2 linked regions of the Caenorhabditis elegans genome follow. The protein of the gene in region 1 purifies or fractionates together with the protein of each later gene. This does not show direct contact. Each region holds a gene or a part of one and is shown in the gene's direction. Other genes may lie near its edges.

Region 1 (6,747 bases):
AATTAGCTCTTGACCCAAAATTCAAGTTAAATCTCATTTTATTTTATTTTTTCAGACATTTCATCGTCGGAAGATGTTCCGCTTTATAATGGAAATATTTACGATCCGGAAAGAGATTCAAAAAGTTTTCGAATTTTGTTAGTTGGTGATACAGGAGGTATAAAATGATTTTAGAAAAAAGTGTATCTCTAGTAATTCAGGAATTCCAATATTGGAGACGACTTGGGCACAAAATGAAGTCAAACAGACAATGGCATCATTAGCAGATGAACATAGTGTTCAAATGATATTAAATATGGGTGATAACATATATTTTACGGGACCCACTGATGAATTTGATCCAAGATTCGAGGTTTGTACTTTTTTTTAACCCAAAATTTTAGTAAATCCCTCTAAATTTAAAATATTTCAGTCACGTTTCGAAAATGTCTACACGAATCCGAGTCTACAAGTTCCATGGCTCACAATAGCCGGAAATCATGATCATTTTGGAAATGTGACCGCCGAGATTGAATATACAAAACATAGTAAAAAGTGGTATTTTCCATCACTTTACTATAAGAAATCAGTAGAATTCAATGGTACTTCTATCGATTTTTTAATGATTGATACAATTTCCTTATGTGGAAATACAAAGGATATTCAAAATGCTGGTTTTATTGAAATGTTACGTAATGAATCACATGATCCACGTGGTCCTGTTAATATAACTGCCGCTGAAGAACAATGGGCATGGTTGGAGAATAACTTAGAAGCAAGCAGGTTAGGAATTTTGGATTTTTTCAAAAAATGACCTCGCCACGACCTTTTTGTAAAATAAAAACAGGTATGCACCTTTAAAGTACTGTAATTTTTAACTCTTGTTGCGGAATTTTCATCTATTTTTAAATTGTTATATTCAAGATTAAAAAAAAAGGCGCACATTTTTGCATTCAACAAAATTTAGTCGTGCCGAGACCGTGCATCTTATGCCTGGCCCAGAAATCGGAAGATTTCGCTTCTGGGTAATGGAAATTTATTTTAAAAATCCTCTTTCAGTGCCCAATACCTAATAATTTCTGGTCATTATCCTGTTCATTCTATGTCATCACATGGTCCAACTGACTGTTTACGTCAACGTTTGGATCCACTTTTAAAACGATTTAATGTGAATGCTTACTTCTCAGGACACGACCATTCGTTGCAGGTTTACCTTAGTAATTTTAATTCAAATTACTTTATAAATGTTTCAGCATTTCACTTTTCCCGGGTATGGAGAGCATATAATTAACTATGTTGTGTCTGGAGCAGCTTCTCGAGCAGATGCATCAACGAAGCATATTAAAGAATTCAGTAGGGATACGTTGAAGTTCAAGTGAAGATTGAAAGCATTAAAAAGTAATTTCAACAAACTTTCAGTTATCCGGAAAAATCATGGTTCTCGTGGTCACCAGTTTCGCAGCTCGGATTCCGTAAAGGCGGCTTAATATATGCAGAATTTGGACATTACAATGCTCGACTCGATTTCTTTGACAAAAGAGGAAAACAGCTTTATTCGACGATCATCCCCACACGTGTGATCCCGACGGATACATCGACACGATCAACTGCCTCACCGTTTGTAGAAATAGGAATGTAATTAATTATTTAAGCAGTTGAAATTCAATTTTTTGAATATTTATTGAACTCCCTCATAATTTCATGTATAATATATCTTGAACGGGTTGAAAATAAAAATTTTATTTATTTGTTGGGCTCTAAATTGTAATATTTAAATTATTTTTTGAGCTCCGCCACCTTTTTAAAGGTTATTCAGCGTACTTCGTTAAATTATATTTCCGGAAAATAAATTCTCTGCGTCTCTTAAGCTGTATGCAAACGCGCTCTGAAAGGCAAAAGCGAGAGAGGAGAGGCAGCAGAGAAACGAGCGCCATTTTCAATACTTCACAGGATTTACGAACAAAATGTTCTTTTTTTTGTTAAAATTTCAAAGTGTAACGTTTTTTAATCATACAAACATTTACTAACAATATTCCTATCGAATTTGAAAACTTTGTAACATTAGAAAAACAAAAATTCTACTGTTTCGTAACAATGTCTCATTTTAATCAAAGACTAAAGTTTTCTCAACATTTGAAAAAGAATTTAAGTAAATTTTCTTTCGATTTTTCAGCTATATACGGTTTTCAAACTTTAAGTTCAATAATACAAAATCAAATGATTGATTTTTAAAAAAATTGAAACTGAACGTTCAGCTTGAAACAGCGTTGGAAATTTAAGGATGTGCTAAAAAAGCAAATCAATAAAGAAACTTATTTTTGTCTCTTTTCTCTATTTTCTAAAACTTCTCACTAAAGGTAACTTTCCAAAGTTAGATTTTCAGAATGTACAATCCACCACCTGGAGGCGGCGGTGGCAACAATGGAGGAGATCAATCTCAACAACAACCTACAAATAATGCGACGTTGTTTTTATTACAAATGATTCAACAATCACAACATCAACAACAGCATCAGAATCAACAACAACAACAACTGGAACTTCAAATACGTGATCAAGAGCGTATTTTGATAGAACAACAAAGAATGCAACATCAACAACAACAAAATCAACTTCTTCAAGGACTCAATCAATTTCCATTTAATCCTTTAGGATTATTTCAAGTACAAGCTGCTGTTCAAGCAGCTCAGGCACAATTTGCACAAAATGCTCAAGGTTCTCCAATTCCTTTTCATATCGGTTCTCCACTTCAACCATCACATTCACCAGCAGCTTCTGCTCTTCAGCAACAATATCTACTACCATCTCATTCACCGGCAATAACCCCATTTGCTAGAAATAGTGAAGCTGCAAGAAATATTGAACAATTTATTGCACAGGAAGAGGCTGCAAATGTACCAAGGGCCAACAGTCAACAACAATCTCCATTGATTCGTCCGATTCCACAGCAACAAGCTTTGAATATTCAAAATCTCACATCGACTCAACAGGCACAACAAATCCTGGCCCATCATCGTCAGGTTCCCGTTCAACAAGTACAGCATCAGCAGCATATTCCCGTAAATATTTATTTGATTGAAAATTAAAAAATGTCTGAAAATTGGAAGGTCTGAACCTTTCTTTATAGAAAATTATATTTTAAAAAGTTAGAAAGTACTGTAGCGCCAAACAATTTGTCCTTCATTTCTGCTTTCCCGAAATTCGCAAACCTAATATTTCTCAATTGAGCTCAAAAAATAACAGAATTACTTTTGTTTTTCAGCATTTCGTAAGTTTTTTGAAGAAAATGTGTAAAAATTTGAAGTTTAAGACTGTTTTCAAATATTAGATGATGATATTTTATCAATGAAATGCATGTCTGAACTAAAAAAATTTATAGCAATTGACAATTTTATATTTACGTCAATTTAACAATTCATTCCGAAAACCAATAAATCTATTTTTCAGACTCCTCCACTAGCCCTTCCAATTGCTCAACAAGGACCAATTTCTAATGAAGTTCCTTCAGTTCCTCCAGTTGTTCCAGCAACTTCTGCAGGGTGTCCTCAACGTGAGCCTCGTCAACAACAAGGTGGCCGACGACAAAATCGTCCAGGTCGTCGAAAGAAACCAGAAGGTCCACCACGTGTTGATGAAGCTCTCGCCTATCTGAGAGTTATTAAAAGTACTTTCTCATCTGATGTACCCGTTTATCATCGATTTTTGGAAATTATGAAGGATTTTCGTGCTCAGAGGTAATTCTGAAAATTTGAATTTTATTTTTGAAGGTTGAAAATCAAAAAAAATTGTTTTGGTTTTTCCGGGAAAACAAATATTCTTAGATTTACAAAAAACTTTAAAAAAACATTTGTTTTGTTCAAACATAAGATAACATAATTTACTTGAAAAGGCAAAAAATTTCAAGCTATCTTCCGAAATATCGTAAAACCGACACATTTGATGCGGATTAAATTTTGCTTTATTTAAATCCAAAAAAAAAAACAAATATCTGTCTTTTTTGCAGAATTGAAACACCTGATGTGATTGAACAAGTAGCAGAACTTTTATATGATTCACCGGAACTTGTTCTTGGATTCAATACTTTTCTGCCAACTGGATATCGTATCACATTGACTCCAGATCGAAAATATGTTTTTTCTTCGCCACAAATGCAGCCAAGGGTTCGTTTGGATATTTAGATTATACTAAAAATCTGATTTGAAAATAGTTTTAAAAATCCAATATCCACACAATATTGTTTTGCCTCGAAATTAAATTACAAAAAATTTGAAGGTTCTGCTATCGCCTGACGAACGCCGAGCCCGTGCAATTGAAGCTGGAGCACAAGCTGTAGGAGCAATTGAGTTGGGTTCTCAAGAAGGAATATCAAAAGACGAAGACCGTACAATTGAAGATGAAGATATGGATAAAAGTAAAGAAAAAGATGATGTAGATGGAATTGATGATGAAGATGATGAAGAATCTGGAATAGAAGATAAAAATAATGAAGAAATGATGGAAGAAGATAATCATTTGATTGAAGAAATTATTTGTGATGATAGAAAGAAGGATGATTGTGAAGATTCACAACAAGAGGTTTGTGTTGTTTGTTTGAAAACAAAAAACTTGAAGGTTTTTAAAATATTTGATTTTAAACATATCTGAAATCTTCTTTGATAAATTTTAAAAAAATACATACCAACGTTTTCAGATTTTTCTTCAAAAATAAAAATCTTCTAAAATTTTTACTTTTCTGTATTGCCTTCACTGATAGTTGCTGGTTTTCCCAGTTCTTCAACGATGGGCGATTCTCTTGCTCGTTTGAGCTCTATATCTTTCTTTGTCCTGGAGTGTTTACTGTAGCGAAACATTGTTGTCTTTTCAGTACATTTTCTTAGCTATTTATTATTGTATATCAAACTTCTGCCTTCACAAGCCATAATTGATCTAGAAAACATGTAAGTGCCATGTGAAAAATTTAAAAATCGTTTTCAGATCGAAATGTCAAGTGAATTGGCTGCTCATACACTGAACATAATCGAACTTCTCAAAAAATCGTTTCTGGCTCGCCCGACGAAACTTGTTGATTTCATGACGTTCATTGACTTCTTCATGAGTGATCAACAATATAAAAAAGATATGGAAAAATTGAGAAAAGATGATGAGGATGACGAGATTGAAGAAAATGAGAAAATCGAAGTTGATGATGTTCCAGGACCATCCAATGCACCACAAGAAATCAAAAAACCTGATGATATTGAGAAAAAAGATTCATCGAAAAATCTGCAAATTGAGGAATCGTGCTCAGATTATCTTGTCTCAATGCTTGCTAATTGTTGTATTGGAGAACCTGATCTTCTTGCAGCAACTATTGATTTTCTTCCATATCTTGGGAAACTTCTTGTTAATGGATCTGATGCGATAGCATTGGTGAGATAATGTATCCTATATATGATTTTTCATAATAATTAAAAAATATTCTGAAATTCCGAAATACCAAATGAAACACGAAAAAGCGAGGAATAATGAAAAACCACAACTTTCCAAATTCAAGAATTTTTCGTTTTTTTGCATGATTTTTGAATTTCAGAATATTTGCAGTATTCTATAGAAAATTTCCCATTCACGAAATTGCGAAAATTTAAAATTTAAAATAGAAATATCTAAAACAATTCAAGTGAACTATCTAATTTAATTTTCAGTTTTTAATATTTAAATATATTTTGAAATAATTAATTAGAAAAGTAGACTTGATATTTGTTCATCGTCGAAAAATATCATAGATCAAAAAAAAATCTCAATAATCATGCAATTTGCCCTTGATCTACCAACCAGTTTTTGTAAACAAAACGCCTTTTTCGTTTTTGAAAAAAAAAACTATCATTGCAAATCAATATTTTTAAACCTTTTTTCTTTTCCAGAAAATCAAAACAATTCTCCATTTCTCCGCCACCAACGATCGTAACGATATTCCACCTGTAAATCGTGTAAATCCATCCGATGTCGACATGGATTTAGTGAAACAAATGGAAAAATGCAAAATGGGGACTAAAAAGGTTTGCTACTCCTTTTAAAATTAAATAAAATGATTAAAAATTTCAGAATGAAAAACTGAAACTAAAAGTTGCTGGGCAAGGCGATGAAGGAGCAACCGTGGAATTGATGATACTCAAGAAATCATACAGAATTCTTTATGAAAGGGTTTGTTTTAACGGTGGAGTAGCGTAAATGGGGATTTCGATTCAAAATCCAAATTTGTCAATAAAATCGCCGAAGACAAAAATATTAACGGTAATCGGCGATCGCCGATCGCCGTGTTAAAAATTATTATCGGAAAAAGTGTAGAAAAATTACGTCACACATGTATTTAAATACTTGAAAACAGGTGTGACGTAATTTTTCTACACTTTTTAATTTTCCAACACTACTTGAATAACCCCATAACCCATTAAAACAAAATCCAATTCAAGCCACTCGCCCTCTAAAAGTTTTTATCATTTTGCTTATTCAATAAACTTTATTTTCAGCTAAAAAGTCGAACAACACCGAATCAACTGTCTCACCTGATGGTTTTGATAAATGCCTACGCAAATTTGGATATAACCCGAGAACAATTGATTAGTGAACTTCCAAAGATCATGGGAACATCTGGTTCTGATCTTGAAATGATTATTCTCCAATTATTGGGTGCAGAAAAAGAACCAAAAAATCGACCAGAGAATGATATGGATGCAGTTATGAGAAAAGATTTACCTGCCATTCAACCAAAACGAGGTCTTCGTGATCAAA
Region 2 (9,721 bases), 1.5 Mb from region 1:
CCAATTTCGGAGCGAAAAAAAGTTGGTCTTTCTCATTCATCTCGTCATTCATCTTGGCGCTTGTGTATGTGCTCGGGAGGCCTTCCTTCTTCACCATATTAATTCAATTTTCATAAATATATCGCATTCTACAACTAACACTCACTTTTCTATTCCAATATACTCTTTGTTTTATTTCTACTTTTACACGCGTCTTCAAAACCCATAAGCGACCGCCTTGGACCAACTTTTTATTTTTCGAATGATGAGTACAACATCTGTCCCTATTTTCTGTACTATTAACTTTATTATTCTGCACTTTTGAATATGAAACTTTTAACATACTTTGATTAATCTCAAAGTACTGAACTCCAAATCCCAATAGTTGAAAGTATGCCTCTATAACTCCGCCCTCCGTCACTTCTTCTTTCGACTCCGCCTCCAATTCTCAACTATTGGCTAGAGGAAGCCGCCGTGCACAACTCAGTTGTCTTCTACTCTTTAAGTTTTTACATCGTCTCCCTCTCCAACCATCATTAATCGTTTTGTTCTTTTCAGTTACTACTAGGGGAGTCGTGTTTCGGATTGATTTTTTTAAAAATTTAGTAGGAAATGACACATGATACATCACATCATTAAAGTTCAACGATCGTTTCGAAACAAATTGGCCATGCTTGTAGTTTGACAACACTCTTTGCTCACTTTGTAACTTCCATTATTTTCTTTCATGGTATTTTGTAGATATGTTTTTTTTTCTAATAATGTAAATTAAAACTGATATCTAGAGTTATCTAGAGTTGCGAATTCACATATAAAGTGTTAAGTTGGTTGATAAGCATGATGCGCTTTTTTCTATTAGTATTTCTCTCTTCAAGTTGGCATTCTATATTTCACTACATTTTAAAAATACAAAAAGTAGTTAATTACTAAATTGTAGAGATAGAAATGTTACATTTGTGCTAGTTGATAATTTCTGATGAAAAAAAACATCTGTCAAAATTAAGCATTAGGGTTCAAGTCTGATAGAGTGGCTAGTTTTCCAGATGGTTACTAAACAAAAGTTGGTAGCATACACTTCCAAACTTGGTAGATCTTCCCCATTAAAAGTCCTATGATTCAAGAACCTGCTCTTTCCGTAGTAGGAAAATACGGCTTATACTTGTGGGATTTCAGTTTTAATGTTTTTCTCGATCATATAAGTAAATTTAAAAACATTTCGTTAAACGGTCTAAAATTAAAAACTGTGTACCCTTGTAAGATCTCTATCTAATAATAAGTTTAGTTTGCACTCTATTAGGTCTGCCTGTTGTCAATACAGTGACCTACATAACTTCCCAATAGTATCTATTTCTGTGTGCATAACCAATATACATTGCCACGTCATAAACGAGATCCCTCACCTTTTATTAGGTTCTCCTCTTGACCGCCTCAGAGTTTGGCTTATCTTCTGTTACATTCAAAACAAACAAAATGTAGGATAATCATTCAAATTTCTGTAATCTTCCGGTTCACACTTGAATGTGAAACTGTTACTATAGTGACAGTGAAGATATGTTTTAGGATTATGATTGATTTTGTTCAAGAAGAAGATCTACCAAACTTGGAAGTGTACACTACCTACTTTCTGGGGTAATCTAGAAATTCAGACTTTATTTGTTTTGCTTCTAAATTTTTCAACTTTGCTAGGTTGTATTCTGCTATATCAACAGATTATCAATTGGCAAGAAAATGTTTATTCATTTTTCTACCGTTTTGTAGTTAGTTACTTTTTGATATCTGTTAAAAAACTATTTGTTAGGTGAACTTGTGTAAAGTTTCAAAATCCAAAAATTATCAGTGAATCCTGAAAAATTACAATTGTGTATCGTCCATTGACAACTTTTCACATTTTCAAAATTATTATACATACAATTAGCTTCAAAAGTTTGAAAAACTCCATATCTAGACTATACTATTCATAGCTCTTTATTCAAAAGTGCCATAGACAGGTGTCGCATTACAAGTGTCTTGTCTGTACCATCTAATCTGATGGATTTGATCTCCCATACACGCGCAACGTAAACTATTATTATTATTTTCCATCCTCCCATCAAGTGTTCTCCACTGAATACCATGCACATCTAACTTTACCTAATCCCTGCTGTCCCATCTCCAATAATTCATTTCCTGCTCTTCCACACCTGCCCCCGTAAGCATTATCGGGGGCCATTGGGGTTTAACTTGGTACCCGAACGCAACCCCATTACTGTCCAAAAGAAGGCGGAGTCTCTGTATGTGCGCGGGCAATGCATGATGCCAGGTGCACCACGCCGCTAAGCAGATGGTGTCCTCCTCCAGACCGCCCTCCTTACTTTGAGTGTCTATGTGTGGTCATTCTGTGGTCCTTCTACACTTTCTTGCTACTTTTCTTGTTTGCTGAAAACTTTTTCTCTGTACCTTCTTACTATTTAAAAAATATGTTTTAGGACTTTATCTATATCAAAATGTCATCAATCTCCAACAACCCAGACTTTTCATCCATTGATCCAGCAGTTTTAATGTCATTGCTCATGAAATCTTCTGGTTCACTTCCAACACCTCCAGATACTCATTCCGATGGATCTGAATCTCCAGACTCCACAGCTTCAGATTCTTCTGATAAGAAGAGACGCCGGAAGCCAGAATGTAAGTTTGGGAAAAGTTTGAGATGTTGCTCAGCTTGTATTTCGGATACTTTGTGTTTTATATTAAAAAAAATAACTGGAGAAATTTGGGAAAATATTTAGTTTTTATTTTCATAGGTAAAATCTTTTTGATTACATGTGTCTTGGTTACTCTAAGCTTGATTTAATTCAACCAGTAAACTATAGAAAACAAATAAAAACTCGTTCACTTCTTGATAATACCAAAAACAGCTAAGATGGAATCGATGAAAGTCGTAGTCATATGGTTAAGCGGTACTTGCCCCTAAAATTCTCTACTTTTATATCGTTTATCTCAATCTTTGAACTTTTAAAAATTATTCAACAGGCAAAGTACGTGCCAAATATTTCTCTTCATTTTAATAGTTAAACATTTTGATAAAACAAAAAAAAACCCGGAATACAGTTTGTTAAAGTAAAACTCTCTCCTAGTCGGCACTTATTTGTTCTAATTTATAATTCCAGTGTGAATAGTTTTAATATTGTTTCGGTTAGGTGCTATTTGCCTAGTTTCAAAGTGTCACTAATTGTTTAATTAAGAGTGAATAGAGGATTTCCTCCTGACCTGTAAAACTTTTCTCGTGGGAAACCTTCTTTGTTCAATTCTTCTCCTCTCGTAATCCCCACTGTCTCTCTATAACTTTGCAAATGCAACTCCATCTGCCATCTGATTCTTGTGATAAAATGGATCGAAAAGATTTGGGTCTTCTGACCCTACTCGTCATCATCATTTGTTTTTGGATTTTTCAATATTTTCCAACTCTTTCAACTACAACCCGGGTTGATCTAGTGTCGCAACGTCAAATCGCATTATGTTGTAGTCGTTTTGACTTAGATTTGAGAAAGAGAGCCATTTCAAAGTCAGAAACTTCACTTTCAAATTATTTTTTTCTCCTTGCTCCCTACAAGACTTTCTAGATAATTTTTCTCTTCTCGTCAAATAGTTTTTTCTCGTACTATTTACTAGTACTATTATATGGTCAAAATCTAAATATGGCCACCCCGTAAGCACAGTGTGACTGGGAGACACCGACAGCTGCTCAAACAGGGAGCTCTAGTACTTTTCCATGGTCAGCAGTGATATAGATGCTTCTACGAATGACCAATATGTAAGCTTAAAGTTTAAACAGCCGCCACACGCTTTTTACTTTTTACCATTCAATTATTTCGGCTATTCGAGTGAGTGAGTGTCGTGACCTTTAAATCCAAAATCCAAAATCTTTCCCCCCTTAGAAGTTGTCTCCTCTTAAAAGTACCCCTCCATCTGTCGCCAGATGTTCTCTACAGACCGCCAGCACTTTGTTTTTTTGTTTGCTAAAAACTTTCCTTTGAAATTCAAAATGCCTCCCATACAAAGTGCATCGGCTTCAATTAGCTGGAATTTTATATATTTTATATATTTTTCAACGGCACCATACCGTAATTTTGGGCAATCATTCTGCAAAACTTTTTCTTTATTGCTAATCAAAAAATGAAGACTTCTTGTCATATCACCTTTTTTGGTTGCAGATGGCTGGCAGAAACTGACTTATAAGTCGATGTTTTACACACCGATTTGTAGTATCACCTTTGCGTCACTTTTTGGAGATTTGATTTTTCTAGGCAGTAAGTAGCTATATTTAGCCAACTGAATCACTTTTCGTACAAATTTTCGGTTTTTTAACTCCAAAAGTTAATTTTAAAAAGTTACTGATAAAGGTGACAATGGGCCACAGTGAGTCGATAAGTTACATAATCAAAAACACCTCAAAATGGCTATGTAAACAAATTTCCTTCTGTTCATTAAAAAATCTCAAAAAGACACCGCCAAGTTGTCACTTCCTTCCATTTTCCGGTCCATAATTGTGCGAATTGTGCTCTGCTTCTGGTTACATCATGACCATCTCCGAAAAACGGGCGGTCCACTTCAAAAACATCATAGGGCGCGCTTCGGCTCATTGGTTACTTCCTTTTCTCAATCAAAAGCTTCCCACTTCTATTGTAGTTTTTTTACCGCAAGTGATCTCTAACAGAGGGGAGAAGTCCTGCATCATTAATTATACATTCATTGCGTTCTCTTTAGTCACCGCTCTATCTGGAACCATTTACATGACATATGGTGGTAAGGTGGTAAAGATTAGGGAAGAGTTAGGAAAATTGTAGAATGGGAAAATGAGGCATATGGGTAGATTACTGTAGTTGACAGTCATGATGGATTGGCTGAAACTTTTCTGACAGTACCTGAGGCCTACGCCTGCCGCATACCTAAATTGATAAATGTAGCGAAATAGAAAATTATTCAAAAGTGAATTTTTATGAAACAAATGCTGGCGACCAAAGGAGCTTCAATTTTCAACTCCCTGAAAAATATCTGGCCTCGGAAATTTGAACTTGATCTACTGAAACTTCTCTTCTTGGGATTTACCCCTACTTAGCTAATGCATCTCTCATCTCAAATATCAGAATCTTACGAGTTGACAGATGTTCTTGTACTCATCTCCTCATGTTGCTCTACCTATTCATTAGAACTCCATACATTACCGCTCCATCATTACCCTTCACATCATGACTTTTGCTCATTACAGCTAAAGACATTGTCCGTGTTGCCGAAGAAGCCGAAGCCGCTGCTGCCACGTGTTCATCGATTCCATCATCTTCAGATACAAAAGAAAACGAAACAGAAGAAGATCAGAATATGACTTGTGACACGACAACAAACAATGCACAGAAACCAACTGAACAGGTTAGTAAAATTTAGTGTTCGGTTTTGAAATCGAATCGGCAATTAAATATATGATGTGTCCTTGGATGGTCTTAAAAGGACGCAAAAGACAGCTGACAGGGCCTAGAGAGAGCACCTGTTCCATCGTTCCGAACTATTACCTAACAACTTTTTTATGCTTCCGAAGAAGAACATGTGCCTGTACATCTGTCTGAGATCCTTTGAGATAACATCTTCATTCATTCCATTCACTTTCAGACCGCCACCTCCGCAGATGTCGTCACCTCATCAGTTCCAAGTGGCCTCGAAGGAGTTCCGTCGTTCCTCTTCTCGCAATTTATGGCTCCATCCTTCCAAAAACAGCTTGAAATTTTTACATCAGGAAATATGATGAGCGCCACACACTCTGACACATCACCTTCCGATGTCGACTCAGTTTTGGATGGTGGTGTCGTGACAGCAGAGGAGACGTCGTCGTCAAAGGTGAGAAGCCAAAGAAATTTGCATTTTGAGTGAAAAGAAGTGAAGTGGGAATGGGGGGCACACGGTAGAGAAAAGTGACTTGTTGCATATTTATGAACTCACATTGACACATATTGAAATTGGGAATGGCAGCTCAACTTGGGAAATTATTTCAAAATTTTGAAAATTTAAGTGAGAAGTTTCAAGGGAAACTGGTAGTTTTGCAATGCCTAGCTTAACGAAAATTAGGGTCATGTCTTCGAGGAAATTTTGGGAAGTTCCGGAAAATTTTTAAAAATTTTTAAAAATCATCTGGAAGGTCTTGGAAGAACCGAGCAACTTTGAAAAGTCGAAACTGTTTCGAAAGGTTTCAGAAAGAAAAGCTGGAGAAACGTTTGAAAAGTTCTAGGAGGTTCAAAAATCTTCTGGAGATTTTAGAAAATTAGGAAAACTTCTGGAATTTTCTATAAGATTTAGGAAAGTTCTCAGGAAAATTCACGGAACTTTTGGAAACTCTATTAAATTCAATTGTTAAAGCGAGTACGGTAGATCAAATTTCTTACAACTCCTCGGACCACCTAGTTGGTAGCAATGACTTGAAATAACAAGTTGCTGGTCACGCAAGGGCTTCCAACTTTAATTATATGTCAAAACAGACACAAAACACCTTAGAACCCAACGGATGACATTGCGTGACCAATGACACTGCCGCCTCACCGATTGTTCTTACTAGGAGTAGTAGTAGTAAAGAGTGAGACTTGCCAACTTTGATGGATTACTATTATTGTTTTTCTTCGTTTCATATCTTTTTTACCAAAAAATACGATTTTCAGAGCCCAATGATGACATCGTCGGATACTCCAAAGACTCCATTAACTGCTTCAAGCCCACCACACTCATCTGGATCAGAATCTCGAGTTATGTCTCCAATTACACATACAAATATCAGTGATGAACTTTCAATCTCTACAACTCCAACAGTTGCATTTACTCCAAACGGATCAATTCCATCACCTGGTACTGGTTACTCATGGAGCATCAGACGTGGTAAGGACTTTTTGAACAGAAAGTTGGGACCCTACAGTAATCCTCTGAAGATATTTCAGTTGAAAATCAATCTCTAACCCCAACTTACTAACCACTAATTCCCCCATTCTGAGTTTTCTTTCGAAGAATATCAAAAAATAATAATCCATTTGGGAGGGATAAAATGAGTGCACTAACCACAAAATAAACTAATCCCCTCACTTACCACTCCACTCGCACCGAATCACATGAAATTCCATTTGGAGCGGTACTAAGTCCCAACTTTCAGAAGGCAAACTGGCTTGTCCAACACCTGGATGTGATGGATCAGGACATCAGACAGGACTCTACACTCATCACAGAAGTTTGTCCGGATGTCCACGTAGACCAGACAAGACTGTTATCCAAAGTAAGTTTAAATTGAAACTAAACATAAATCTTAGCTGGCTGTGAACTTGGAGCAACAAGTAAACTAGCTCATTAATCTGGTAAAAAGAGCTTAAGATAAATGAGCTCTCATGCATTTCATACTTACTTTGAAGCCAATACTTGTAGCAGTAGCAAGAGCCAAAGATTGATGACTTTTCCCACTCACTCACTTACTTTTCCCGTTTGCAGTGCTTGCTCTCCGACAAGACACCGTGCTCCGATGCACCACAGCCGGATGCTCTGGAAAGGGACATGTCAATGGAAATAGAACATCTCACCGTAGTCTCTCTGGTTGTCCAATTGCCCATCAGGAAAAGCTTGCACGGAAGGGAATTAAGACAACACCACAACGCACGAAAACTCCAATTAAGGGAATCAGTATTTCTGATGAATGTCCACTTGACTTGACACTTTCTGGACTTCCAGCTGGATTGTCAGCTCAGCAATTGTTGGCTGCAGCACAAGCAGGACTCATTCCATCAAGGTATTCTATTTCATTCTCAATAAACAGTTTCTATAAAATTGAATTTTCAGTCAAATGATGGATGCTCTCTTCCAACAATTCTCTCAAACACAACCACTTGCTACATTGGAAGAGGAGTCAAAGAAAGAGGTACAATAATTTATAACATTTGATTCTGAGAAGTTTTTAATTGAGGAATATTTGTACTCTCTGAAAATAATTTTATTTAAAAGTTTTGGGAAAATGCTCATAAAAATTACTTTAAAGACCTGAAAAACTTTCTCAAACTGTCCTTTACCGAAAAAAAATTCTAAGACAGTTTTTTGGTAAATGACAACTTCCTCCAGTTTCCAAATTTCCCAAGAAAATGAAGATTATTTCCGAATCAATCAGATATTTTTCCATTTTTCTATATTAATTTTTGATCCGAAATGGGCAGTTGTGAAGATTTGAAAAACTTACCAAAGTCACTTTATCTTTTAATCTTAACGGTAATTTATTTCAGAACGAGATGGAAGTTGACGTTGAAACAACATCAGATGATATTCCAACTCTTATTAAAGAAGAAGAAGAAGTTAAATGCGAGTCACCTGTTCCATCCGTGATCCCAGAGATTCAATCAACACCATCAAGACCTGTTGCTGCTCCAGTTGCTCCTGGCTCCGCGGAAAAGAGCTCCCCAACATCTCAAATGCTCCTTCAAATGCCTGGATTCTCGGAGGCTCTTCTCAAAATGACTGCCCCACAAGTGCCATTCCCTCAGTATTCCCCACAAGCGGCTCTTTTCGGAAATCAAAGTGCTCTACTTGCTCAAATCATGCTGACACAATTGCAAATGCAGCAAGGGTTTTAAGTTTTTAAAAAATCGTATTTATTTCTAGTTTTCACATTACCGATTGATTCACATTTGTGTTCAGAAACTCAATACATTCCTTCTTTATTCAAATAGTTTTTTCTTTTATCCCTCACTCTCCTCAATCTATTCTTTCAAACTGATTTATCTCTACTCCTCTCAAATCTGTGTGCTCTCTCGGGCAGCACCAGCAGCCCGGTGGTCATCATCAATCAAGCATCGTGGAGCGAAGAGAGAGAGAGACCGTATTAAGAAGTGGCAGATGTCGCCAGATTGCACCGTTTGCACCAAAAATGACAGTAGTTGAGAGTTTGCCAGTTACTTTTCGGTCATTGACCTTTCTTAGAAATACTCAATCAAGTGAATTGGACAATATGTTAGGGGGAAACGGTCCTTACAATTAGTTTATTTATTGTTCACTCGACCTTTTTTTTGCTAAAGAATATTGAAATGGAAGAGGAAATTGAAAAATGAAACTTGCAAATAATATTCCGATGTGTACTTAAGGCTATTTTCTGAAATTGATGCAATTTTAACGCTAAAACTTGCAAGAAACATTGGAAACTACTTATATATTACGAGATTACAACATTCTGAGCCGCGCAACATATCTCGTAGCGAAAACTGCAGTAATTCTTAAAATGACTACTGTAGCTCTTGTGTCGATTTACGGGCTCGATTTTTTGAATTATTTTTTTTTCGAATATTGAAAGAAAAATCGAGCCCGGAAATCGACATAAGAGCTACAGTAGTCATTTAAAGAATTACTGTAGTTTTCACTACGAAATATTTTGCACGTCAAACATGTTTTCTCAGAATATTGTGCTCCCGTAATAGTTAAATCGCTCGTAAATCCACAAAGCAAATGCTGGCCTAGTTTTCTCCTCTTTCTCTTCCATTTCAAATTCAAAAAACTCCCCGCTTTCTAGTTTTCAAAACACCTTCAAATCCGTCAAACATATAATCTTAAAGTATCAATATGCACCACCTCAACTCGTTTACCTCTTTAATGAGCCACCTGCACTGCTTTTCGTCTGCGTCTCTCACTTCTTCATACTTTTTTTTCCCGGCTTTCTCCGAAAACATCTGCTCTTTCTCTGTGTGTTCCCGATTCCCTCAAATCTTTT

The links.
Region 2: the proteins of sin-3 (region 1) and ztf-11 purify together in Caenorhabditis elegans (affinity purification with mass spectrometry; 2 studies listed by BioGRID, with this or other methods). This does not show direct contact.

Annotation. Positions count from the first base shown.
Region 1 is NC_003279.8:8,414,469-8,421,215, forward strand, and holds the start of sin-3 (Paired amphipathic helix protein sin-3), read left to right. Parts: upstream 1-2,362; 5' UTR 2,363-2,363; coding exon 2,364-3,038; intron 3,039-3,426; coding exon 3,427-3,713; intron 3,714-3,982; coding exon 3,983-4,139; intron 4,140-4,251; coding exon 4,252-4,554; intron 4,555-4,953; coding exon 4,954-5,388; intron 5,389-5,879; coding exon 5,880-6,014; intron 6,015-6,060; coding exon 6,061-6,159; intron 6,160-6,485; coding exon 6,486-6,747. Other genes in the region: F02E9.7 (Tartrate-resistant acid phosphatase type 5), read left to right, coding at 56-157, 201-352, 413-762, 1,039-1,186, 1,233-1,354, 1,399-1,618. UniProt on the Caenorhabditis elegans protein: Probable transcriptional repressor required for the deposition of dimethylated 'Lys-9' of histone H3 (H3K9me2) on asynapsed chromosome pairs (both autosomes and sex chromosomes) during meiosis, but this does not seem to solely affect the transcriptional status.
Region 2 is NC_003279.8:9,903,269-9,912,989, reverse strand, and holds ztf-11 (Zinc finger protein ztf-11), read left to right. Parts: upstream 1-2,444; 5' UTR 2,445-2,462; coding exon 2,463-2,643; intron 2,644-3,554; exon of another isoform or gene 3,555-3,665; intron 3,666-5,224; coding exon 5,225-5,382; intron 5,383-5,464; exon of another isoform or gene 5,465-5,587; intron 5,588-5,619; coding exon 5,620-5,844; intron 5,845-6,656; coding exon 6,657-6,870; intron 6,871-7,138; coding exon 7,139-7,258; intron 7,259-7,467; coding exon 7,468-7,762; intron 7,763-7,812; coding exon 7,813-7,891; intron 7,892-8,246; coding exon 8,247-8,594; 3' UTR 8,595-8,688; downstream 8,689-9,721.